4 linked regions of the Drosophila melanogaster genome follow. Changing the gene in region 2 together with the main gene of any one other region gives a genetic interaction. Each region holds a gene or a part of one and is shown on either strand. Other genes may lie near its edges. The genes, in order: Sin3A, Ret, stg and bon.

Region 1 (6,022 bases), on a different chromosome or scaffold from region 2:
CTATGAGCGTATGTAATATGCAACAAACGGTCGGGGTCGCAACTCTTGATCTTGGACTGCTCGTGAATGCGACATATGTTGTCTATGCATTTGGTCGCCCCGCAAGCGGCAAATGCGCTCGAGTTCTAAGGTAGAGAAATTGGACTGACGGCTGGTTATCTGCTGCTGGTGTTGCTGCGCCGGTGATTCGCCTCTGCCACGTAGCGTTTGGAGTTCTTTCTGAATATCACTGCAAGCAAAGCAAGAGAAGGGAAACGGTCATACAATAATGTCGACATTAAATGTATAAAAACCCCCAAGAATTAGGTTTGGGTCTATTTTTAATGAAGTTAGTCATCATTAAATTCTGCATTACTGGAACAATCTTACACATTAATACTAGAATTTATTCACTGACACTGAAATGAAAGGACAAATATGCCAAATATACTTTTCCATATATTAAAGACCACGAGTCTTGCTAATTTTCCCAAAACATGTTAGCTAGTATAGCACAGCTGATTGATCAATTCGGTCTATATCTTCACAGATATCGGAACGATTGCATATTTCAACAAGAAAAAAGGTGAACTAAAAAGCCACGGGGGAATTCTTCTTTTAGCCGTATCACAAAAACTACAGAGTGGAGAACGGTGTCTCTGTATTGGGTGTTCTGGATTCGGGGGAGAAGAGTGAGATGAGGGACAATAGGAATGGAATGAAGCAGTGGAGCTGTGACCAATAACAACAACAGCAACCAGAGATTGATACATATAGACGGGAAGGAGATCGTGGAGTGGAAGTTGAGTCTTGGAGGAGAGTGAGTGCAAGGCATAAGGAGGAGCGCGTAATTCACTTTAGTGTGTGTACGTTCAACCGGAATTGGGCGCGCGCTTTGTTATTGCTTTCAGCGGTACAGTAAAAACTTCCTAAGCGAGCTTTCTGTGTACACCTCCGAGTGTGTGTGTATGTGTGTACATATCAGTATTTGTGAATGTGGAAGGTGCCAAATGCCCCATGCACGACATCGGCTTGCATAGAATTCAGACGCACACATAGAAAATATTTATATATCGATACCGCCAAGGGGGCGGGCGGGTGGTGTGTGAGAGCTGCTGGTACATGTTCTGTATCTACAACTTACAAGAATAAGAAGAAGAAGAGTCAGAGGTAACAGCAGCAGCAAACGCAACAATGCAAAGGTGGTGGTGGCGATACGGTGGTGGTGGTGCAGCCACAGAGAGAACCAGAGAGAGCCGCATTTGTTGTTGAGGCGCAGTATATGGATGATTTTTTTTTTTTCAAAAAGGTATTTCACCCGTTTGGGGCCAAACTCACACACGGACACAGCAAGCATTTGGCGGGCATTCGAGAGAGAGAGCGGCAAAAATGAAGAGAGCGCAACGCTGCGCAAACCAAAGACCGCGAGCAAATATTAGGTGAATGGAAACCGCCTAGAGGATCATCCTGCTCCAACTAATTGAAACACCCCATCGAACCAACAGCTGCCCCCTTTTAGCATTTGTAAACAAATATTGGAGCACAGTACAGCCGCACAAAAGCTTTAGCCCTCGTTCTCTCTCCTGTCTCTGCCACCACCAACTATCCTTTAATAAATGAAGGTAAAACAAGTTCGCTCTTTTGAGCTCTCCCAACTGTCTTTGTTGTTATTGTATTTTTGGATCCGCCATTAGTGCATACCAAACACATTTACTCGCTTGCTGGTGTGTGTGAGTGTTTGACGAGAGAGGCTCCAAATTGGGGCGTTGTGTGCGTGTGTGTGCTTTGGGGAGACATGTGGGCAAATTTTCCCTCCATTTTTTCTTTTTTTTTTTTTTTGATTCAGCCCGCTCTATTACGTGCACACGTATAATGTTATCTTATCTGTTTTGTTATGTGTATACACAGCACAGCAGAATACGCAACACAAAAGGCAGCCAGCGGAAAATATGTTAAATTTTTTGCAAATATCACTAGCACTCGGTTTTGAACAACTGCAATACGAATCGGAATCAACGCGAATTAATATTTAGTTTTTTACTGTTACTTTCTCACTCTGGCGCACTAACACAGCCGCGGAGTGGCGCTGCGCTATTAATAAATTTTGCAAATAAAACATATGGATGTGTAGAGAAATATGTACAATATATTCACATACATATATACTATTTCAGCATGAAGAAGCAACGGCAAACGTTTTGTGTAAATTCAAAACCGAATGAAAAAAAACAGGCGGAGCAAGAACAACAAACGACGGATGGGCTGGGGAGCATGAAGAAGAGGAGCAAAAGGAAGATCTGAACAAAAAGAGGGCCACAAAATGATGCTCTCATTGGGGAGCCATTTAAATGCACACTCACACTAGGCTGCTCTCGCCAGTACATGCGAATGGCGCATCAAAGCAAAAGTCAAGATAAGCGCACGAACTGAGCAAAGAACGAATCAACAACGAAAATAAAACGACACTACGTTGAAAAAATACAGTCAGTTCATAAGCGAACCAAAAGCAATGGTTCAAAGCGTATGTATGAGTGTGGCTCTCCTCTCCACAACTGTGTTCAACTGTGTGTGAGGAGAGCAGAAACTGTAGAGGCAGCAGCAGCAGCAACACAAACAACAACCACGTCCCCGTCGACGACTTTTTGTCTGTGCGCCTTCTATATGTATTCGCTATGCCATTGTTGTTTGTGTGTGTGTGAGTTTGTGCGTGCGTGTGTATATAAACCAATTGAAATTGACCTAACCTAAAAATGTTGTATTTTCACAAGTTTTCAGTGGCACGAACGAAAATATTGTTTGAACTCGAATCCGCACTCCAAGTGCACTTGAAGGATAATGCTACTCTGCAATTTTCACGCCCCCCACAACCGCCCACCGCCCATATTACACTTACATCAGCAATAAGCAGTTAGCTTCGTCGGTTGATATTCGGCTGTGTGTATGTATATTCGAAATGTATGTATATATGTACGGGGCGCGTATGTATATTTACTACAAAACTGCCGTTGGTTTTGTGGTGTTATTGGAAACTTTCACGTTTTACGCAGTATTTTGCACATGCAACTACTATATTCGCACTCACTGGCACACCGAAATCTTTATTTTCACCGTTTTCTTTTCTTTCAGTAGCTGGGGCTTCGTTCTCCAGTTCAGTTTAAGTTTAACGCTTATTTCAATCAATTTGCACTTGGCTCTAAGACCTTAACTAGATCACACGGCTCGAATTTAAGACATTTTCTTCTCGATAGATTGCTACTGCTATTCTATTCACAAATTTTTGGCGAGAGAACGTTTTCGTACATCTCAACGCCGCCGCAAACATTTTCGATTAAAACAGCGAAACGCGACGGCCAGTCATTTGGAGTCAGCAGAGAGAGCGAAATGAGTGTAAAACGGAGAGCGTGAGAGCGCGCGCGCAGTGTTGCTTTGGAATTCATTTTATTCTGCTGCCGCAGCTAAAACAGGGTGGCAACTCAACGGCGCAACAACTAAAATCCTCCGTCGAGCGCGTTGAAAACACATCAGTAGCTGACGGCAAAAATAGTTTATATACCATTCATTACCTATTAGCAAATAATCACAATCAGTGGTTATTTTTATTAGCGGTGAGCGGTACCGCATGCAAATAGTCGCAAAATGGCGCTTAGAATTTGGATAAGAAACGAAATACGTGAGGCTTACGTAAGTGCGAGGACCAACAACAACGCTGGGAAGAGAGAAAACAAGTTGTTTAGAAAACAGGGTGTACCATTGTCACCCAGCCATGTGGTGGAAACGATGATCAGAACATCTGGGTAAGACACCCTGTTTGAGCCAAAGAGAGAGAGCGGGTGTGAGAGCAGCGCACCCACACAAGCGCAACGAGTATACAGCAGATAGCGACGTCGGCAGAGCGTTTTAGCCGACCATTGCAGTACATATGTGAAATCGACGAAACCGAAAATCAGAAACCAAACGGACCACTAGCGAGCTACAACTCTGCCACGGCTACACTTTACACACTCATGTACTCCTCCACCACCTCACTCGCCAGCGCACTCACACACAGACGCGTGCGTGCGGAGAGAGGAAGTAAAAATATGAAGACAAAAAAAAGCAAGTGCATCTCACCATGACAATGGCGGAACCATAAAAACACATGTTCCCATCTCGAATCGAACTGAATTCGGCGGCCAGCTCCTTCACAAAATAAAATAATACAGACAAAAAATCTGTATACGCGCAAAAGTTGAGCTGCTAAAACATGGAAACCTTGCAGTTATCGATTCGTCTCGCTCATTGCGCAATGAAAAAAATGCAGCGGGGGCGGAGGATACGAGAGAGCCTCTCTCTTTGTGAGACACCTGCAGCGATAGGAAATGCAAATCCGCCTTCCACTTTCCAGCTCGAAAGTTCAAAGTTCACATGCAACTAACTAGCTACTGGGTGCAGCGCATGTCCGAGGTGCACCAAAGTCCCTGGACCAAACAAAAAAATGGCACAAACCAAACTCTCCGACTTCCAGGCGCCGCAGGAAGGTTTGTTTGCCCTCCCATTGGGTATTATTGATGCTTTTTTCTATTGATAATAAAGCCAGGTGGTCTAGCATGTTCTAATTATTCCTGTGCTAATTTCAGATCTGTCATGGAATGCGGCACTAGGAAATATTAACTGACGCTGATCAAGTGATATCTGAAATGTGGTAAAGAGGTTCCTGTCACACGGACCCATTTCTATAAAAAAAACTAATTAGTTTGATATTCGTACGTGTTCTGCAAATTATCAGATGTTTTTAACTCTCTTGAGTCACATGATATTTAATGTGATAAAAACTTTTTGTTATTTATTGTTTGTTTGTCCTAAAAAATTGACAACACAGTAAATGGAAAACTTTACTATAAAATATTTAACTTTAGTATTAATTCTCATCAAAACTATAAATCCATTTAAGGATTAGAGAACCCTCTTCTTTATGTAAAAGATTATACACAAATTTACCGGTGAGCCAAAATGCGTGTTGGATCAAAATTAAGAGCAATTAAAAGGTTTTTAAATTAAAATAACGATTATAAATTTGGGAATAGGCTTACACGATTGAACACAACGGCTTCAGTGTTGTTTACTAATTCAATACTTATTGAAATGATAACATAGTATATTTAAACATACAGTTTAACACTCAAGTTTTAATAATATAATGATGAAGGCTTGAAAAAGTTACAACTAAATATGTGTAAAAGTGTTCAACGTCTAATACACTTCAACTTCGTTCCGACCATCAAGTTCAAGAGACTTGTTCGTTGGCCTCTGGCTAAAATACAATTGCGAATTGCAAACAATTGGTTGGCGACGCGGCAAGTGTTTTTTTTTTCTCGGGAGAAAGATCGAGAGAAGTGTGGAGAGACTGCCAAAACTGGGGAGTTTGAGTTCAGAAGTAACTTGTTTTTCAAGTTTTCAAACAGCCAAAACCAAACCAGACTTAAAAGCCAGTCGAAACTTGAGGCGCTTCACAAAGAAAATTTGAGGAAAGCACTGAGAACGTGTTTGTGTGTGTGCATTACAATTGGACCTCACAGAAGCAGTGAGCCCGATTTCAACGAATTATTTAATTAGAATCAACGTAAACCCGCAAATTGAAGGCTGAAACTGCTGTCTCGCTCACCTTGTGCACAATCACACATACGCGAGCACCAAAAGGGTACATTGAGCTGCCAACTGATTTTAAAAGCGAAATTTGAGTTTAAAAAAATTATTTCAATATTTATTGATGCGGTATTTTTTGTATTATTTTTGACTGCATAATTTTTATTAACCTTTTTCACATTAAATAAATTTTCCATTTTTTTATACAAAACAAGAAATAACTATGAAAAAAGAATGGTTTTGCGTACAAAGTTATTCTGGCATAAAATTTCAACATCCTAACAAGTTGGCAGTTCTAGAGCGATTGAACGCAACAATAACAAAAGGTGAGCGCGGCAAACGCGCTCTGCCTCTTTCAGACAGCCACACACATAGCTGCTTTATTGCCTTCGTGGTGTGCGTGACTGCGTCATTGTTGTTG
Region 2 (5,863 bases):
GGTGCAGAACGTAAGCTTTTGAAAACAAGTAACAGAGGTTTAGGTTTACCAAAATAACAATTTGGAAAATTAATTTTTTTTATTTCAAAATGAGTTTTCGTAAACATCAATGTACCCACTGAAAGGGTATGACTGCTAATTATTTTTATTGATAGCGGCGCCCACGCTCCCGTTTGTCATTTAAGCAATCTAATTTATCACTCAATTAATTCCGCACAAAATTCTCAAGAGCCGCGCGGTCTACGAATTCTGATTATTGCAATTCAAAATGAGCTTTGAATTTGTTTCGCATATTGATATTGTTATTAAATGGTCTTCGGTTGCTATTTTTGGCCAGCGCCAGGTGAGAGGCTTATTGGCGTTGCTTTCTGTTTTTTGTTTTATATTTTTCTAATTCTAAATTTTAAAAGTCGAGCGCCTCGGGTGCGTGCTATTTGTTGCTCTTATCATTATTAATTGTTCTTTTTGCCGATTCACTCCATGTCGAATGGCTTTCAGTTTGCTCAATCGGTTTTTAAGTGGAATAATTTAATTAAATTATTTGGGCAAACAATGTGGGTTTACTTCACAATTTGCTCTGGCTGCCTTAAGTCAAAAAGTTGAATGGTTTTTGAGACAGTTTCGGGCTTAAAATTACCAGAGTTTTGTATACAGTGGTAATGCTAATTTATTAAGATTTCTAAACTTCCTAACCAACTGCCGAAAACCCTGATGAATTTTGAATACGAAAAACAATAGAACTAGTTACGATAACTAATTCTATGCAAGTACCAAGCAACGCTCAACGAGGACGTGTCAAGGAAAAGGCAAAAAAAGTTTGTGGACGTGCGAGTACTCTACCTACTCCATACCCCACAGAGTACTCTAGGTACTCCACTCCACATCGCTCCAGTGCGGATGGATGGACGGCATATGTGTGGTATCCAGCGGTGCACGGCAGGTGTGATAAAAAGAACCCGAAAGAGACAATTGCGGCGTGAACTACCCGCTGGCCAGGGGAATGGCAATGGAAGATAGCACGCATAATTCAAACGAGCTCAAAGTCAAACAACGTGATAAGCAATTCACAAACACTGGCCGAAAAGTCGAATGGGAAAAACTGTGTAAACTGAAGCTGAAACTCATTGAATTTGGATCATTTCAATTTATTGGTAAATGGGATTTGCTTTAAGTAATTTCGGTATTTTGGTACTTAGTACAACACTCTTCTATCCGTTTTTCTTAATCATTGCAATCACATTTGCTTGAAATAAAGCACATTTTCTAAAGATAGTTTCCGATAGCATGGCCAAATGTGCGATTATCACAGTTTTATTCGCAGTGTATTCAAAGACCGAGAGACCGACTAACTGACTGACTGACTGACTGACTGGCAGTCCAAGTGTCTGCTGTCTACTTTTCGTCTGTGGGCCTCTTCAGCACCTGAGCACTTTAAAGTTCAAATCTTTTGACACACTGGGAGCTCAGTTGGCGGATGCTAATAACATACGACTTGACACAAAGAGGCTTTTGCAGCAGACACACACAGAAACTCAGAGACATTCACTGGAAGCCAACCGGTTGCCAACTGGAGGGGCTCTCAAAGGCTCGGGCCATGGCGTTTCCCCATTAAAGGTTAAGCGCGACCCAGCCGATCCGGGTGGACTTTTAAGGTGCGTCTATAGCCGTCCTGTTGCTCGAAACGCCAAAAATGGCAATTTCCATATAAAACTTATGCGAAGCCGGCAAACTTACAAACATCCGACGACCGCAAGAGTCAAAGTACGACTGTGGAGGTTCTTCAGTGCCAGTGACTGCCCCGACTGTTTTTTAACTGCACTGCGACAAAAAAAGATTCTAAGAATGCGTACTGGGAGCTTAATTTTAATCAAATGTTTGCCTTTTGCATTGCTTTATCATAATGAAGAACATTTTGCATTGCAAAGATTTAATGAATACAGAAATGTAAAAAAAAATTTTTTAATGTGTCGTGTTTAAAAATATTATGGCTTACACAATAAAAAAAAATGTTGCTTCATTTGGTTTCATCGAATTATTGCTACTTTTTCAATCTTTCCCCTAACTTTAAATGGTATTTTATATATGAGTATTGGTATAATGAGCTGTGAATAAAAACCAAATAGAATAATTCGATGATATTATTGACTTAGGCTTGGACCTTTTCCAGTGCCATCGGCTTGTAAGTTATTTTTTCGTTCACAGACATCTACGAATTGAAAAAGAATGCCAGAGTAGCGTCAATAAATTTGGCCTGGAAGCTTAGAGCCTGGCTTGGATTCCATTTCCACGAAAAAAGGTTCTGGAATGACAGCCGCTTTAAAGGTGTGCGTGATGTTCTTTTTGATCCAACACAGTCAGCAATAGCAAGTATTACAAACCCTAATTGATCCCATTGATTGAGTTTTTAGACCTGATCGCTTGTAGACACATTCGTAAAATGCAAATTCACATCGCGACTGACATTTGCATATGCTAACAATTAATTTTCTGTCACCTAGGTAATCAAAATAAAACATTTTCCAATTAATCCCACATTTTATAATTTGTAAGATTAACATTTTTATAAGCTCTGCCTCCACCTGAGCAAACGCAAGCACGAAAGACCTTAACAGGCATTTAAAATGTAGAAGTACAAGATTAGATATCTTTTGTATTAATTAAAATAATTATCAATTAGAATAAACGCTCAGACCACCCACACTTAGTGTTTTACTATCAAAGATGTGTCTTTGCATACATACATATATGTATATATATATATATTTATAGCTAATCTGTTATCCCGCCACTTCAGCTTTAATATATTAAAATATTTTCCTCAATAAACTGCAATTACTTGAAGTTGCAAATTGAGTAAACTAATTCCACTTCAACACGCACGGCTAAATCACAATTATCTGATGCCAATCTACACGATATACTGTATTGAGTTGTCAGTGCCACTAGACGTGAGGATATTGGCTGCATTTGGAAAATCCGAATCTGGAAAATCTGGCCATAGATCGCAAATAAATTTCAAAGTTCGCAACATACGTAAACCACGATCTTGATTTTGATAGACACGATTTATGGAGGCTTGCAGCTGCTGCAGCTTTTTACAGACTCCTTAATTGTTCGACTCAAACGGCAATTATTTATGGGACAGTTTCAACAGTGTAATTAATTAGCCACCTCTCTTTTCCCGTTTTCGGGCAGCTTTTCCGCGGAAATACTTTTTGGTTTGTGGAAAATCGCTTAAAGACCAACCGAACCGCTTTGCACGAGCTCCGTTTGAAAAATGAAACTGAAACCGGCAGCCGGCAACTCCAAAGCCGCAGAGCCCACAAAATCGTAACGAAAACTTGACTAACGAAGCCGCTTCGTGTATTTTACCCGAATGTATGAATTTTCCACGATGACGGCACGTCAGCACACCCTCGCAGAGTTTTCCATTTTCCGCTGCACTGCTGGGATACCCCTCCTCCAAACAACATAATTCCACCGACTAATGGCGTTTATGAGATAATCAGATGTGCATGTTCCAAGGCTGGGTAGCATATTTACCCTTGGAAACATGATCTCATATCAAGCACACTTTCCTCGACAGCTTCTTTTCACTGGGTTTGGGGAAAATATTTACTCAAAATTGGGAAAGGGCTTGCGTTCTAGTTTATCTCGCAGTAATCAGTATGTTGTTGTGGGTGTTGTTGGTCTTAGGCAAATCTTAACGATAAAAGGGTTTACCTGGCCACCCCAATACAGAGACTTTACATATTTATTTTTATTTAGTGTGTGCGTGTGCGAAATGTTAAGTGTGGTCAAATGTGTGGGTCTGATTTCTTTCATGCCTCTAGGCTTCATAAGCATCGGGAACTATTTCAACATTAGTGTAAGAAAGGAACTAAACAATTTGGAGTAAGATCATGGGTCCGGGACGATGTTAGCAATTGCAGGCGGGGCACACGGGCTTGTCCCCGTCGATGGTAAAAGTCTGCGAGGTTATAGGATTCTCGCATTTGTTGCACTGGAAGCAATTGCGATGCCACTTCACGTTCATGGCGAGCACCGCTGAGTCCGTTATAGGCTTCTCGCACTTGGCGCACCTGGCAGCAAAGAGGTTCTCGTAATCCTGTTTGCAATAGGGCTTGCCGTCGCGCTCATAGAACGTTTGACTGGCGAGCGGCTTCTTGCAGGCACCGCCGCAGCAAAAGCAAGCTTCGTGCCACCTCTCCCCCATGGCGCAGATGGTTTTTTCAAGGATCGGCTTCTTGCAGCCGGCACAGGTGTAGGTGTACCGCTCCACGAAGCACTTGTTGCACACTGGTTCTCCGCTCTGAACATTGAAGGTGGCATCCAGGATCTGCTCATCGCAGTGGTGGCACAGGAAGTGCTCCGGGTGCCACGTCTTGCCCAGGGCGGTGATCATACGCTTGGTGATGGCCTCCTGGCACTTGTGACACACAATGCTCTCAGTCATTTTGGCTTCTCGATTGGTAACTGCTAATAAAAAATGATTTTTAATGCGCATTACCAAGGGATTGTTCAATTACTCTTTTTTGATTGAATTGCTCGTATATATCGTAAATTGAGGTTAAAATACAAAATGTACAAAACAGGGCAGCTATCGATTATTTTATTGAAAGAAACAACGGAAGATGGCTATGGAACGATAAACACTGGGCAACGCAAATATTAATGAGACAAATTATAATTCTGTACTTATTTTAAGATTGGGTGTATTTCTTACTGGGTTTGTCGCCTGTTTCACTACTTCCTCTTTTCGCAGTGTGTTTTTCCTAGTTCGTAATTGTACTGTTCTCATATATCAAAACAGTTGTCACAGGGCCACCGTTGTTACTTTACTTTCTATTAGATGTTTCACACAAAATGGGAGCACAACAACAAGCAATAACGGGTATAATAAGGGTATACTAGATTCGTTAAAAAGTATGTAACAGGCAGAAGGAAGCGTTTCCGAACATACAAAGTATATATATTCTTGATCAGGATCAATTGCCGAGTCGATCTAGCCATGCCCGTCTGTTCGTATGAGATTCAGCATACAAATTCTAGAGACAACGATGCAGCGCAAGTTTGTTGGCCCATGCTGCCACGCCCACAAGCCGCAAAAAACGGCCACTCCCACACTTTTAAAAAAGTCTTGATATTTTTTTACATTTCATTTTTTATCAATTTGCAAAAAAACTTTTTGCCACGTCTACTCTAACGCCGTAAAACCGCCCATAACTGCTACGCTAACATTTTAGAAATTTTGAAAATTATTTCTTCATAATTCCATAACTTTTTGCCACGCCCTAAAACCGCACTAAATTGCTACGCCTACACTTTTGAAAACTGTTGATATTTTTATTAGTCTTGGAAATTCCTATCGATTTGCCAAAAAAAACTTTCTGCCACGCCCACTCAAACGCCCTAAAGCCAAAAACTGCCACGCACTTTTGAAAAATGTTTAGATTTTTCTTCGTTTTATTGTTTGTCTTGGCAATTTTTATATGTATACCAAAAGCACTGTGGACACGCCACTCCTTTCACCTTAAAAACTCCCAAAACAGTAACGCCCACATTTTTAAACAATTTTTACTCATTTTTTTCTATCGATATCCCAGAAAAATTATTAAATTTCGCTTTTGCATTCACACCAGCTGAGTAACCGTTATCTGATAGTCGGGGAACTCGTATGTAAAATTCTATCTTGTTCTTAATTTTTTTGTATTAATTCCATATTTATCTAGATTACACATCTGCGTAACCGATTCGTGACTACGCCAAGAGACGGCCACCACTTCATATCGAGAAGAATCGATAAGGCAGTTGTACTGCGATCTTAACGGAAAGATTTTTTAAAGCTCTTCAATTTTTGTTT
Region 3 (7,183 bases), on a different chromosome or scaffold from region 2:
CCTCTTTCTTCCTCAGCTCGTGTTCTGGAATTTGCGCGCGCACGTTGTGAACGCTCCTTCTATCCTTCCCCACCCCCTCCTACATTCCCCTTCCCCCATCGCACACACACACACAGCAGGACTAATTCGGCCTCCCTGCTGTTCATATCCTTCGCTCCTGGGCCCGATCAGCTGATCGAACATATGAGAGAGGGAACCGCTATCCCTGTCTAACTGTTTCTTCGTCCTGCATTCTAATCAGTATCTGTGTGCGCACCTCTTCTCTACTTCTCTTCCATTCGCACCTTATGTACCACGGGACTTCCCCTGTCCATACCATTGCCCCTGCGTTTTGTTAGGGGAAAGGGGAAGAGTAGGGGAAAGAAAATTGCATACAAGAAAATCTTGATATAAGTCGAAAGAATTGAGAAGATAATATATGCAATATACTAAGATAATTATATTGCTAAATAGTGTGCACTTACCAGTATGTACTATGCAGATTTATCTGAAATAAATTAATAATTAAATTATAAATAAATTGCATTTCAATAGCTTTTAGAGGGATGTTGAAAATTTGCGCTTTTTGTATCTCTCACCTAGACATCTGATCGCTGGCCCCTCTTTGCGCTTCCTTCTAATTGCATTGCATTGTCTACCACACACAAACACACGCGCGCGAAAACTGGGACCGCCCAGCCTTTAACCCATGCCTGCCCACCGCACCACCCTTAACCCTTTTGGCAGTGATTTGCGAAAAGCGCGCGCGCACAAAAGTATCTCAAACGCTTTTTTCGCACACTTTGCAGGCATTTTAATGCACAGACGACCGAGAAAAAAATAAAATAAGAGCCGATGCTCAAAGCTCACTTCTTGGAATTTCGATTTACAATTTAGCTCTTCACTTTTTGCTGGTCCTGTGATTTTTTTTGTTCGTTATGCTGTTTTTGAGGTCCCCCGCTATTGTTGTGCCCCATTCCCATTTCCATTCACATTGTTGCTGCAATTTCTTTCTCCGCAGCCTATTCTCATTCTTTATCAAATTTACCCACTCACACACGCACACACACGTGTGTGAGTGTGCTTTTGCATACGCTTTTGATTCCGCTTCCTCCGCTTTGCCCTTTTTCTGGAGCCCGGCGATATCACGGTGGTATTATCTGAAATCCATAATTGCGAGGCTATAATTGGAATGAATAAAAGCATAAAAACTGGATAAGAATTTGGTAAGTAAAAATGAAAATAGCAGAACAACTCGAGCTAGAAACTACTTTTAAATAGTAGTAGTAAGTTCACAGATTTACCTCTAGTATATGTATTTTGCCACACTGTGCGCTCGGATCGCTATGAATGAGATTGGTTCTGAGCTTTTTCCTTCCCTATGCGCTTTTTTAACTTGTTCAAAACCACTTTATGATTTCTGCGTCCTTCTCGTCGTTTTGTGCTGGTTGTTTTCCATAAAGATGATCCTCTCGGCTCTTCCTGCAGCAACAACAAAAGCTGGCCAAAGGAATTCAGCGGAATGAAACCGTAGCTCATTTGGTTGGTGGCTTCGGCTGTGGTTGGTCCCGAAATCATTTACTTTCGCCTGCTCTTCAAGCGGTGTGAATGATATGGCCTGGTTGCACTGGCCTGTCCTTCATTTGTTTGCCGCGAACCTTACAAAAACACACTCGAACTGCACAGCACAGCCCATGGGTGTTCGCAAACCCCCAACCCTCCTTAGTGAACCCCTCGGATCCTCCAGAATGACTCCCGCAGGGCATCGGCGCATATGTAACTCGATTTTTGCTTTAACTTTGCCGCGATTGCACACAAACGAGGGGCTACAGTGGAGCTTCGGCGTGGGCAACTAGTCTGAGCTTCACATTATCGATTATTGGTCATATCGCATGGTTGACATCATGATTTTCCACGTGTTTGCTACTGTTAGTAGTAGTTTATCTAGCTTAAGATCTGTGTTTGTACGGATTCTCATTAAAGACACACGGTCCATCGTGTAGAGTGCTACCTGTGAATGGATCTCTGTGGCTGGAAGCTTTGCTCATTTAACGACATTGGCGTCTACGTCTGCAGAACACAAAGGAGCCACGCCCCCTCCACGACCGCCCATCCCGCCGGTGCGGCGATCATATGACTGCGGCCACTACCTGCTGATATGTAGTTTTCAGGGAGGGGTTACAAGGGGGGACAGGGGGCAGCAGGAATGCGTGGATCTCACATTATTACCTGCAAACGACACAATCGATGCCGCCTTGAAATTCTGCTTAAAGATTCGCGCAGTTCTTCAGCGTTTCCTCTTCGCTTCTTGGGGCTCCACACTATTTTCACATGTGTTCGGTTCGGAGCCTCCTCGGCTCCACTTCGGCTCCAATTGTGGCGACTTCGGATCCCCTTCGGCGGTACGCGTCGCGGTATAAAAGCTCGCGCGCCAAAATCAGTGGCCTCCATAGAGCTGGCGACCACCAAGGCGCCAGATTCTCCTCGTTTCTCGGGACATTGGTATTCGGTGCGGGATTTTGCGATAGGGGAAGTGCAGGGGAAAGGATTCTACCTGTTGCCGGCACTCTTGTGCTCCACATGAGCAGAGATTTCCAAAACTGAGTCCATATGATCCTGATTCTCCCATTTTCCCAGTTTTCCTTTTCGCATCGCACATGGCTCTGGCCCCGTCCCCGTTATGTGTGTTGGTGTCGCTCGTTGCCCGTCTCCCTTCCTCTTCTATTGGCACTTCTGGGAAGGATAGGAAGGAAAGGATAGGATGGGAAGGCAAAGGAAAGGAGCTGAGAACTAAGAGCTAAAGAGCGAAGCAGAGAGAACAAAAAACGCGCGCCATCTCGCTCGCGCCCATTAGCTCATCAGCTGATCGTGATCGGCCGGGGTGCGGTTATAAAAACCAGCTGCTCGGCATATTCAGCACATTCGTTCTCAGTTCGTCGTCGAGTCAACAGCTCTTCTTGTTCAGCCTTTCGGTTCCTCGTTCGGTGAATTGAGATTGTGCGGTTCAAATTATTGAAGAAAAAGAAAAACCTCGCACAACCACACTCCGAAATACAAAACAAAAAATCATGCTCAAACGGACACATTAACAAAAAAAAAAAACAAAAAAACCTAAATTAACTAAAATGCAATACTAGCCAAAAACCAAGGACTACCATCTCAAATTCTAAAAACAAACTGTAAATGAGTGCAGAGTGACCAAGAACAAATTGTGTTTTAGCAATTTCTTCGGCTTCAGACTCGCCAGCGAAATCAAACATCTTCGGCTCTTCGAAGCAACCAACGCAACACATAACACAACAAAACCAACAAAATGCTGTGGGAAACTATTGTGGAGGAAAACAACTGCAGCATGGATTGCAATATCAGGTAATTATGCCGCCCAAGGATTAGCAACAGCAAACCCCTTTTGCACCAGGAATACCAGTTGAAAATACGCGATAAAAAGTGCAAGTTCAAGAGCAACAGCAACAACAGCAAAGCAAAAAAAAAATACAAAAAACAGAAATGTAAACGATGGGGCCAACAAAAGTAAGAGTTCTTTTTATCACGCTCGGCACGTTTGCTTTTTGCCCGATTTTTATTTTGGCGCTCAGCTGTTGTTTTGTTGCTCGCTTGCCGTTTTTCATTCATTAAACCGGCTTCCGCGAGGCTCCAAAAAAAAGCAGCAGCAAAAAATGCTTTTTGTCCGTCGTCCGTCAGTCAGTCATTTTTTTTTTTTCGATTTTTGTTCCTTTTTTCCTCCGTGTTCTTTGCGGTTCTTTGTGGCGTGTTTTTGTTGTATTATCGCTGCGCTTGCGTGACGTGTGACCCAAAAGCAAAAGTCAAGCTGAAAAGCAGATGCATGCGAAAAGCAAAAGGGAATTCCATTTGGAGAACCGCTAATGCTTAAGTAGAATCAAGAAGAAGAAGATAAGGCGGTACGCAACGGTTCCCTCGCAATTTTAGGGAATTGTAAAAATTATCAAAAAAAAAAAAAATGGTATCAATGATATCGTGTGCGCAAGTCGAATCCCAAAAATTCCAGTTTTCGAAGCTGCATTAAAGTAAATTTCTAGTTCAGCTCCCTCTTCACCCAATTACAACAACCCCTCTCTGTATTTTCTCGGGTATTTTTGTTGTTTTTACACCACCAACGCCACCACCACCACCAGTTTGTCAGTATTTTTAGCTGGGTTTAATGACCCGCTCTTGCGAGAGTTTAGGGAAGCAAAAGCAGCTCTCTTCCTCGATGCCGAACAGTTGACTAATCCTCCCCCTCTCTTTGTTTGCTCTTGCAGTAATAACACCAGCAGTTCGAGTAGCATCAACAAAATGAGTGGATCTCGTCGTGCTCGCCGTTCCCTGGAACTGATGAGCATGGACCAGGAGGAGCTGTCGTTCTACGACGACGACGTTGTGCCCCAGGATCAGCAGCGATCGGCCAGTCCGGAGCTGATGGGTCTGCTCTCGCCGGAGGGCTCGCCCCAGCGCTTCCAGATCGTCCGCCAGCCGAAAATTCTGCCAGCTATGGGAGTATCAAGTGATCACACGCCGGCGCGCAGCTTCCGCATCTTCAACAGCCTGTCCTCCACATGCTCCATGGAGTCCTCCATGGACGATGAGTACATGGAGCTCTTCGAGATGGAGTCGCAGAGCCAACAGACCGCCCTGGGCTTCCCCAGTGGCCTAAACTCGCTGATCAGCGGCCAGATCAAGGAGCAGCCTGCTGCCAAATCGCCAGCGGGTCTGTCCATGCGCCGCCCTTCGGTCAGAAGGTGCCTCAGCATGACGGAGAGCAACACCAACAGCACCACCACCCCACCACCAAAGACCCCAGAGACTGCCCGGGATTGCTTCAAGCGCCCGGAACCGCCAGCATCGGCCAACTGCTCGCCCATCCAGAGCAAACGCCATCGCTGCGCCGCCGTTGAGAAGGAGAACTGCCCCGCACCCAGCCCACTCAGCCAGGTCACGATTAGCCACCCCCCTCCACTGAGGAAGTGCATGTCCCTGAACGACGCCGAGATCATGTCCGCCCTGGCCCGCTCCGAGAACCGCAACGAGCCCGAGCTAATCGGCGACTTCAGCAAAGCCTATGCCCTGCCCCTGATGGAGGGTCGTCATCGGGATCTGAAGAGCATCTCCAGCGAAACAGTGGCTCGCCTGCTTAAGGGCGAGTTCAGCGATAAGGTGGCCAGCTACCGCATCATCGACTGCCGCTACCCCTACGAATTCGAGGGCGGCCACATCGAGGGAGCCAAGAACCTGTACACCACCGAGCAGATCCTCGATGAGTTCCTCACCGTCCAACAGACTGAGCTGCAGCAGCAGCAGAACGCCGAATCGGGACACAAGCGCAACATCATTATCTTCCACTGCGAATTCTCCTCGGAGCGTGGACCGAAAATGTCCCGCTTCCTGCGTAATCTGGATCGCGAGAGGAATACCAACGCCTATCCGGCGTTGCACTATCCCGAGATCTATCTGCTGCACAACGGCTACAAGGAGTTCTTCGAGTCGCACGTTGAGCTGTGCGAACCACATGCCTACCGCACCATGCTGGATCCCGCCTACAACGAGGCCTATCGCCACTTTCGCGCCAAGTCCAAGTCCTGGAACGGCGATGGCCTGGGCGGTGCCACCGGGCGGCTAAAGAAGTCGCGCTCGCGACTGATGCTGTAGGTTGTGGGATGATCGTGCAGTTCGTTATCTAAGTTTGGGTGTTATCGTATTGTATATATAGACGTATAGGGGTATTTATTTCATGCTGCTTTTAAGTTGATTTTTGTTGATTTTCATTTGTTAATCCGTAGACTAAGTTTCTCGCACACGACGCAGACACACACCCGACACTCGCATTCATGCAAAACAGACAATTTCATTTGGAATTTAACGCTTTTGTTTAGTTATTATTGTTTTTATGGTTTCGGCTTTAGTTCAATTATTTAAGCACTCTAGTTCAAATTTTAAAGATAACCAACGAACAAGCAAACGAAAAATGTGCATTATAATCTAAAAACGTGAGGAACCATGTCATTTAAATTTAAGAGGCCGATCCCGAAATCAGACCCCTTAATCATTTGTAGATGATAAGCAGAACAAAAAATGGCTAAAAACAAAAAAAAAAAAAGAAAACAAATATCACACAAAAACAAACACGCTCATTAATTTCATCCATAAAACTTTATTTATAAGATCTATCGTTTAAGAGTTGAAAGTTGTAAACTTCTGCTAGGTACAATTTACGCTTATTATTTGTTTATTTTTATGTAATCCGTAACCGAACAACAAGGCACCGAAACGCAAATGCAAACAAGAAAACAAATATTTTACCATGTAATGATTATTATTTAAGCAAAGCTTATTTTTGCATCAAAAAAGGCAATATTATTGAACAAAGACCATCAATTTTAAATATACATTAATACACGACGAAAAAGAACTGAAATTCCTGGAATTTTTATCATTCAAATGGCGCCAAATGCGCATTATGTGCGGGATTTCGGTACTCTATGGGTTTTCACAGAATTAACAACTTGAAATTGGCGCGCAAAGCGAGTAGTTGCACTTTGTAAATGTCAGAGGGCGCTGTGTCCGTAAAAAATTGAGTATAACAGCGGCGACTTTTTGGCAGACTGTTATACGAAAATTTGTATGTCACTTTATATTTCTTTAAATTAGAGATGGACACGTGATGCTTTTTTTTTTAAACCCACGCATACGATATACAAATACTCTTTTAAATTTGTTAACTTGTTCTATAAATTGAAGGCAAAGCCTAACACTTTCCGAAAATCGGCTTATGATAATCGAATTTCAGTAAATAAAGCAGATTATTTTCGTTTATAGCTTATGTTCCAATTCCCTTTCACACCCATTTCAATTTCTCCTTAAAACTATCAAATCTTTAATCCTCAAAAAAAGTGTGGATGAAAGCCAAACGAGGTTTGTGGCAATTAGCCAAAGGCAGGGCCCTAGCCGCAGTAATATTTCGAGTTACATGCCATTTTCCATGCCAAATTAACCCTCTGAAGACTGGCATGTAGTAAATATAATAAATTATAATTAGCAATTCAAATAATCAAAGTTAATTCGAACCAACAAGTAAATGTATAAATAAAACATTCAAAATTTGATAAATACTTTAATCGGTGACCTAGATATGAGGCTTTCCCCAAAGGGTTAACCCGCTAAAGCCCCTCCTGTGAGCCCGCATGCTGCG
Region 4 (6,046 bases), on a different chromosome or scaffold from region 2:
GCTTTTGCATTTTACCTTATTGTACAAGTGTAAATTGATTGGATTTTATTTGTTAATGTTCATAAAAAAATCTATCTTATTCGTCATTGTCGTCATCACCACCTTTAACCTTCTTGTCTTCGGAGGAAGGTGGAGGCGCGTCCTCCGTCCGCGTGTCGTACGAGTGATAATGCAATGTTCCTATCCAGTCGAGCATGTTACGCTGCTCGGCTTCCGTCTTATAGATCTGGCTAAAGATCTCCCTCTCGATAAACTCCTGGACTTGCGCCTCCTGCGCCTGCCATGTCAGCGGATTGTGGATGCCGTCCTTGCCGTAGCGATCGTTGTAGCGCTCGTAGTGCACTGTGTCCAGCACGAGGCCCAGTCCAGGGGCCATCGGCAGGTCCAGACGCTCCTCCGTCAGTGCCCGCTCTAAAGTGGCCGCCGTCGTGTTCCCCCTTACAATGGCAATGGCTAGACCCACCATCTTGCGAATCTGGTGCAGCATAAAGCTCTGACCCTTAACCTTAAGTGTGACAAATTCGATGTCCTGGGGACTCCGGAATGGCTCGCTGCTCGTAAAGGACATGATGAAGCGCTTGGACGAAGGATCCAGAAAGCTTCTACAAGGGTAGTAAACAAAATATTAGTTGGAGCAGAAATGAAGTATAAACCTGGCTTATTTACTTCTTGCTGGTGAAGTTGTGGAAGTTCTTCGTGCCCTCGTAGAGCTTCAGGGTTTCTTTAACCTTCTGCAGCAGCTCTGGTGAAATCCGGAAGGTGTCGTGCACGTCGTCGACCTTTTCCTCAAACGGAGCAAAGGCCACGGTGGGCAGTGTGTAGGTGTAGGTCCGAGCATTGCATTGATCCTTGGCATTGAAGCCCTTAGTCACGCGTTCTACGCCAAACAGACGGATCTGTTGCGGCAGATCGGCATTGAAGGCCTCCAGGTCCAGCTCCTCAGCTGCAGGAAGGAATAGGTTTAGTATTGTCTTGTAAAATAGAATAAGTAAACTAACGCAGCTTGACGGAGCACACCTGGCGGGCGGCGGAGACGCCCTTGTCGGTCCTGGCCGCTCTTTGGAAACAGGAAATCTGAATCTGCTCAAAGCTGTCCTCTGTAATCCACTTGTGCTTTAGCATGGCTTTGAAGAGCTCCTCCTCGATGGTCTGCATGCCGGGATTGCGCTGCATACCATAGTAGTTCGCACCGCAGTAGCTAAGCAGGATGGCGCTCTTCTTGCGCTTGATCCGGTCGGCGGGATCGAACGGCGCTCGCTTCACGCCGTTGGCGGCATCCTTCTCGTCCTGCTCCTTCCAATCGACCCATTTCTTGCGTTTAAGTGTTCTCTTGATGCGGTTGGCGTCCTTCACGGCTTCGCCCTCCAGTTCTTTGGCCTCTTTCCTGGCTTCCTTCTCCACCTCCAGTTTATCTAGAGCCTCTGACATCGCTGCGGCGAAGGATTTGTGGCGATTCCAGGGATTGCAAAGGGTTTTCAGGCGAACTATTGTAAGAAAATTAATTATTATAAATTCTCGAATTGGAGGTGTGATCACTAATAATTAACCTGCCTTGGTGTAGTCGTTTAAAAGTCGTCTTAAAAACATTAAGTAAACAATTCTGGATTTAAAGTGGAGGAATTCACACACGTGTGGTTGTGCTTCTTCTTCTTGCTCTGTTACGGATCAGCTGTTTTATTTAACAGCTCTGTTTGGCTAATACAAATATGTTTTTTTCGAAAATCGCGTTCTTTGAATTAGCTCAATAATTAAGTTGAGTTTCCGAAATGCTACTTTTGATTTACTTAAGTTTTAAATTAGCTGTGTGGAGAAAAATGTTCAAAGCTTTACGTAACGTTATGACTTAACAGAACGAAGACGTTACAAGTTTATTTTAAAAATTATGTTATATTTTACTATAACCTTTTAATACCAGGCTAAGTTATTAGTTTTAAATTGTAAATAAATGGCATCTTGACCATGTATTACAACATTAATATGATTTTTTACGAAATGAACGGCGAATTCAATTGTGGTATTGCCAGATCGCGTGTTTAGTGTGACCTCAGCTGCTTACGTTTCCACGGCCGTGCGTAACAGCCCTCGAAATGCCGTCGTACTGGCAACGCCGACATGAATTAATTGAATCCAAAATGGCTGAACATTTTTTGTACAGAAGAAGCGTCCAACGAGAGCAAACGCCGTGAGACCGTGTGTTTTCGCAGCGAATTACGCCAATAAAACCGCACTAAGAGCGCGCTCGCAGCGCGAATAAAGAATAGCAGCCGCGTATGGACGAAATGCGGCACGAATCGCTGGAAAAATCGACGGCCAGACCGAAAAATAGCAGCGAAATTCGAGCGAACGTCGTGTATAAGTAAAACGAAAGTTGTGTCGCTCTGTGCGAAAGAGAGAGGGAGAACCCAATATTTTTGCAAGCCAGAAGTCGAAGGTGAAATTAAAATGCATTAGCCACCCAATTGAAGAGGAGTCAACTACGAACAAAACTTTAAGAATCAGCGAAAAATCGTTTGTGAACATCCATACAAGCACAAATCGTTGTTTTTGCCTGCTCTCGTGTAGTTCCTGTGTATTGGTGCGCGCGCCCTGTGTGTGTTTGTGCGTGTGCGTGCGTGTAAGCATTGGAATGGATTAACTACCCAACTAATTCCAAAACAATAATACCGCAACATAATCGCAATAGTCATGCCGTTTCAAGGCGACAGCCTTTAGGGAAACATTCGGTCGGTCGGTCAGTCAACCAAAAATCAGTTGCTATAATTAGCACGCCCACGTTTTAATTTCAACGATCGCCAGCAACCGCCTACGCGGTTAAATCGCAGGACTTCGCCAACATGGATATGGATTTGGAGCAGCTAAAGAACGACTTCCTGCCGCTTATCGCCGGGATCAAGCAGGAGCAGCTGGATGCCGTGCCCACGGATGCCCTGCCCCAGATGAGCACACCAAACACGGCCAGCGGTGCGCCCACAACCTCGTCATTGAGCTCCTCTTCGCTGAGTCTGAGCAACCCCTGCGACAGTGCCGAGAAAAGGGTATGTTGCTAGTCCGTATCACGCGTTCGTTACCTATAAGCTAACGCCAAGTTGAGGTTAGCTAAAGCCGCCTAATCACACGTGCTCTTGCGGCTGATAACAAACAGCCGGCTCAATACACATATTCCCCTGCTCTGCGCAGTCTGCTCAGTGTAAACTTTTGTTTTGGTTGGATTTTGATGCGCTCGTGCTGCGTCCTCCTTATCAAGCGTTTCGAATCGAGTCTCGTGCAAAAAGCGTTTGTTATCTTTTTCCCAGGCCAAGGCAAACAAAGCAGCGTATTCACACAACCAAACAAACAGCGCGCAATGGCAAGTGTTGTTGTGTTTCACTTTCACGGCCCAGTCCGAGATCTTACAGTGAGAAAAACGGCGTGCACTTTGCTCTATTTTACAGTATATGTGTATATATAGTTTTCTATTATTTTAAAATTAATATGACTATGCAGTTTTAATCTTGGATATACCAGTTAAGATGTAAGAAATGTGATGTTATCGAACGTTGAATCAACTTTAAAATTAGTTCTAATATACAAATTTTTAAGTTGTTATATGAAAAAATGAAAAATAATATACCAACTTAATGCAAGAATTTAATTAAATTAAAAAAGGTACAAATTAAACATTAATTATTAGCTTACTGATTGAGAATTTTTTTTTTTACTGTGTAGTGAGTTAGGGTCTCGTGCCGATGGTTCTCGATTCCCCTATGAGTGCGAGCAAAACAAGCTGTTTCTAGACAGTCGCTACCTCGCTTTCACTTACGTGGAAGGGCTAAGTCAAGATGGTCTCCCTCTCTTGCAATTGCAGATCAGCTGCAACATGCAGCTGCCACTCTCCAGATGAGCGGCAATAGAGTGTGTGTGGTTGTGTGTGTGCTCTCTACTGTGTTTTGTTTGCTCTCCGTCGTGCTTGAGCTGCTCTTTAAGCTACAGTGGAACCCAAGTAGATCATCCTAGTGGAAAGCTTGAACATAATTGTCCTGAAAAATAAAAAAATACTATAATATTTTAACTACTTCAATCTAAAGAATTATTGAATTGCTTTTACACCTTTTTGTTTATTTTCATTGTATTAGTTACTTACTGTACAGCCAGATAACTTGCCTTAACTGAACTTCCAATATAATTTTGGGACATACAGAATATAACTACCTTATTTTCAACGTAAATTGGGCAATTTGAAAGTTTCATTTAACACTAACATTATGAATTAAAATCAACGGCTTGTGATTACAATAAAACAAAATTAATGTTTTTCACAAATGATAACCGCTTTAGATGACACTAATTGGTCACGATATTTTATTATGTGTGCTAAATAAAACAAACACGTTTTCATGTATGTAATTAAAAATTCGAGCTCTAACTTTCTATGCGGCATGTGATACTTCTAGTTACGGAAGCCTGACTGTATGAAAGACTCAAACTTCTCCTGCAACCGTGCAAATAAATGTTCGCCTAGAGTGGGCCTTTTGGAGTGGCCACTCTCTCTTGAACCCCAACCAGGGATTGGGAATGACATGCACTCATTCAATCCGTCCCTCAATCATGCAAACGGTTGTGTTTGCTGTGGTCGTTGGGGGCACTTAAGACCCCCAGACTCCATGCCCAGTCCCCCCCCCCCCCCCGCCTGAATCCCCTCCAGATCACTTAATGCCCATTTCTGATGCGGGCAAACTATCAAGTGGAAAGTACTTCGCCGAGGCAAGGTGTGGAGTTCAGAATGGATGATGATGGGGATTTCAAAGGAATAGCTTTTAGATTATTAATCCTGTTAAAGATTTTCATACATGCATGTACATAACTACAAAACAATCTGACTTAAGAAACTGCCAAGCACGGAATAGTTAAATAATTAATATGAAAAGAATTATCAAAGAATTATTTATGATCCAGTAAGAATTATGCGATCCTTTAGATTTCCTTTAGATTTGAATGCTAATTCTTCTCTTGACGGCATTTTTTTCCTTTTCATCGAGTAAATTATTCTAATTTATGCATGACTTCACAAAACTAACTGTACCTACTCATGAATACATGGAATACATGATGTCGTTAAGTAACTTTTATGGGCGAAAAACATAATAAGAATTTCTCAATAAAGAGAGAAGACTTAAAATTCACGGATAATTTTTTCCTATATATAGTAAACAATGATACCTCTGCTCATATTAAACTCAAATGATTATTAATTTGTTTTTAATTAAAATTAGCTTGAAAGGTTTTATACATTCATAAACACAAGGTCTGCTTTTGTGGAGACTTTCTTTTTTACCTTTATACTTCCGATTCGGTAAAACACTCAAAATCACTGAAGCTTAACTGAAAAGAGAAACCTATTCATTTGTAGCTCCTGTCAAAATGGCGGGTTTCGGCATTAAAAGTGACAGCTGATGGGGAGGTTGCCGCTGGCGGGCATCCATATGTCATCTCAAAAACACTGCACCTAAATGCATTTTCCTACCCTCCATGAGGCCATATTTAATACTCCCATAAATACGTATGTACGAACGCTTGTCGTACATACATATTCATGAAGTCATGTCTTTGTGTGTTACCCCATGCATGCGACAGGTTGTAATTAAATTGCTTGACATCGGAATAAATGAAAACCCAAAATCGTACGACGCCATTTTGTGTTAGATACCGACGAGACCCGAAACGAATTCTTAGAATCCGCCTTTAATGATGTACAATTAACTTTAATTTGATGAGAATATGCAAGCAAAGCAAAACGAGGAGAAGGCAAAGTGCCGATGGCCAGACGCCGGTGCTAGGAAACCCCAGCCCCCAAAAATAAAAGTCGTTAAATGCACAAAAAAGTAAAGTTTCTAATTAACTTGATTACCCTGAAATAAGGGCGGGTAGATCTTGGAAAATGACTCTCTTTTCACTTTACTCGAACTACCTGGCATTAATGCAGACATCGGGATTTTAAAATGCTGGGATTTTATGGCATCTATAGTCAACCATCCCCTTTGTGATCCGATTGAACGAATTTAGGATTAGA

The links.
Region 1: of Ret (region 2) and Sin3A, changing one enhances a phenotype caused by changing the other (phenotypic enhancement), as found in Drosophila melanogaster (2 studies listed by BioGRID).
Region 3: of Ret (region 2) and stg, changing one enhances a phenotype caused by changing the other (phenotypic enhancement), as found in Drosophila melanogaster (one study listed by BioGRID).
Region 4: of Ret (region 2) and bon, changing one enhances a phenotype caused by changing the other (phenotypic enhancement), as found in Drosophila melanogaster (one study listed by BioGRID).

What each region holds. Positions count from the first base shown.
Region 1 is NT_033778.4:12,585,844-12,591,865, forward strand, and holds the start of Sin3A (Sin3A), read right to left. Parts: upstream 3,310-6,022; 5' UTR 2,873-3,309; intron 230-2,872; 5' UTR 1-229.
Region 2 is NT_033779.5:21,195,482-21,201,344, forward strand, and holds the start of Ret (Ret oncogene), read right to left. Parts: upstream 3,282-5,863; 5' UTR 3,172-3,281; intron 16-3,171; 5' UTR 1-15. Other genes in the region: CG31624 (uncharacterized protein), read right to left, coding at 3,920-4,456.
Region 3 is NT_033777.3:29,251,038-29,258,220, reverse strand, and holds stg (string), read left to right. Parts: upstream 1-2,420; 5' UTR 2,421-3,292; coding exon 3,293-3,348; intron 3,349-4,259; coding exon 4,260-5,643; 3' UTR 5,644-6,078; downstream 6,079-7,183. Other genes in the region: CG45544 (uncharacterized protein), read right to left, coding at 1,324-1,557. UniProt on the Drosophila melanogaster protein: This protein functions as a dosage-dependent inducer in mitotic control. It is a tyrosine protein phosphatase required for progression of the cell cycle. It may directly dephosphorylate Cdk1 and activate the Cdk1 activity.
Region 4 is NT_033777.3:20,591,010-20,597,055, forward strand, and holds the start of bon (bonus), read left to right. Parts: upstream 1-2,129; 5' UTR 2,130-2,834; coding exon 2,835-3,035; intron 3,036-6,046. Other genes in the region: Pus1 (pseudouridine synthase 1), read right to left, coding at 77-602, 667-943, 999-1,484, 1,548-1,587.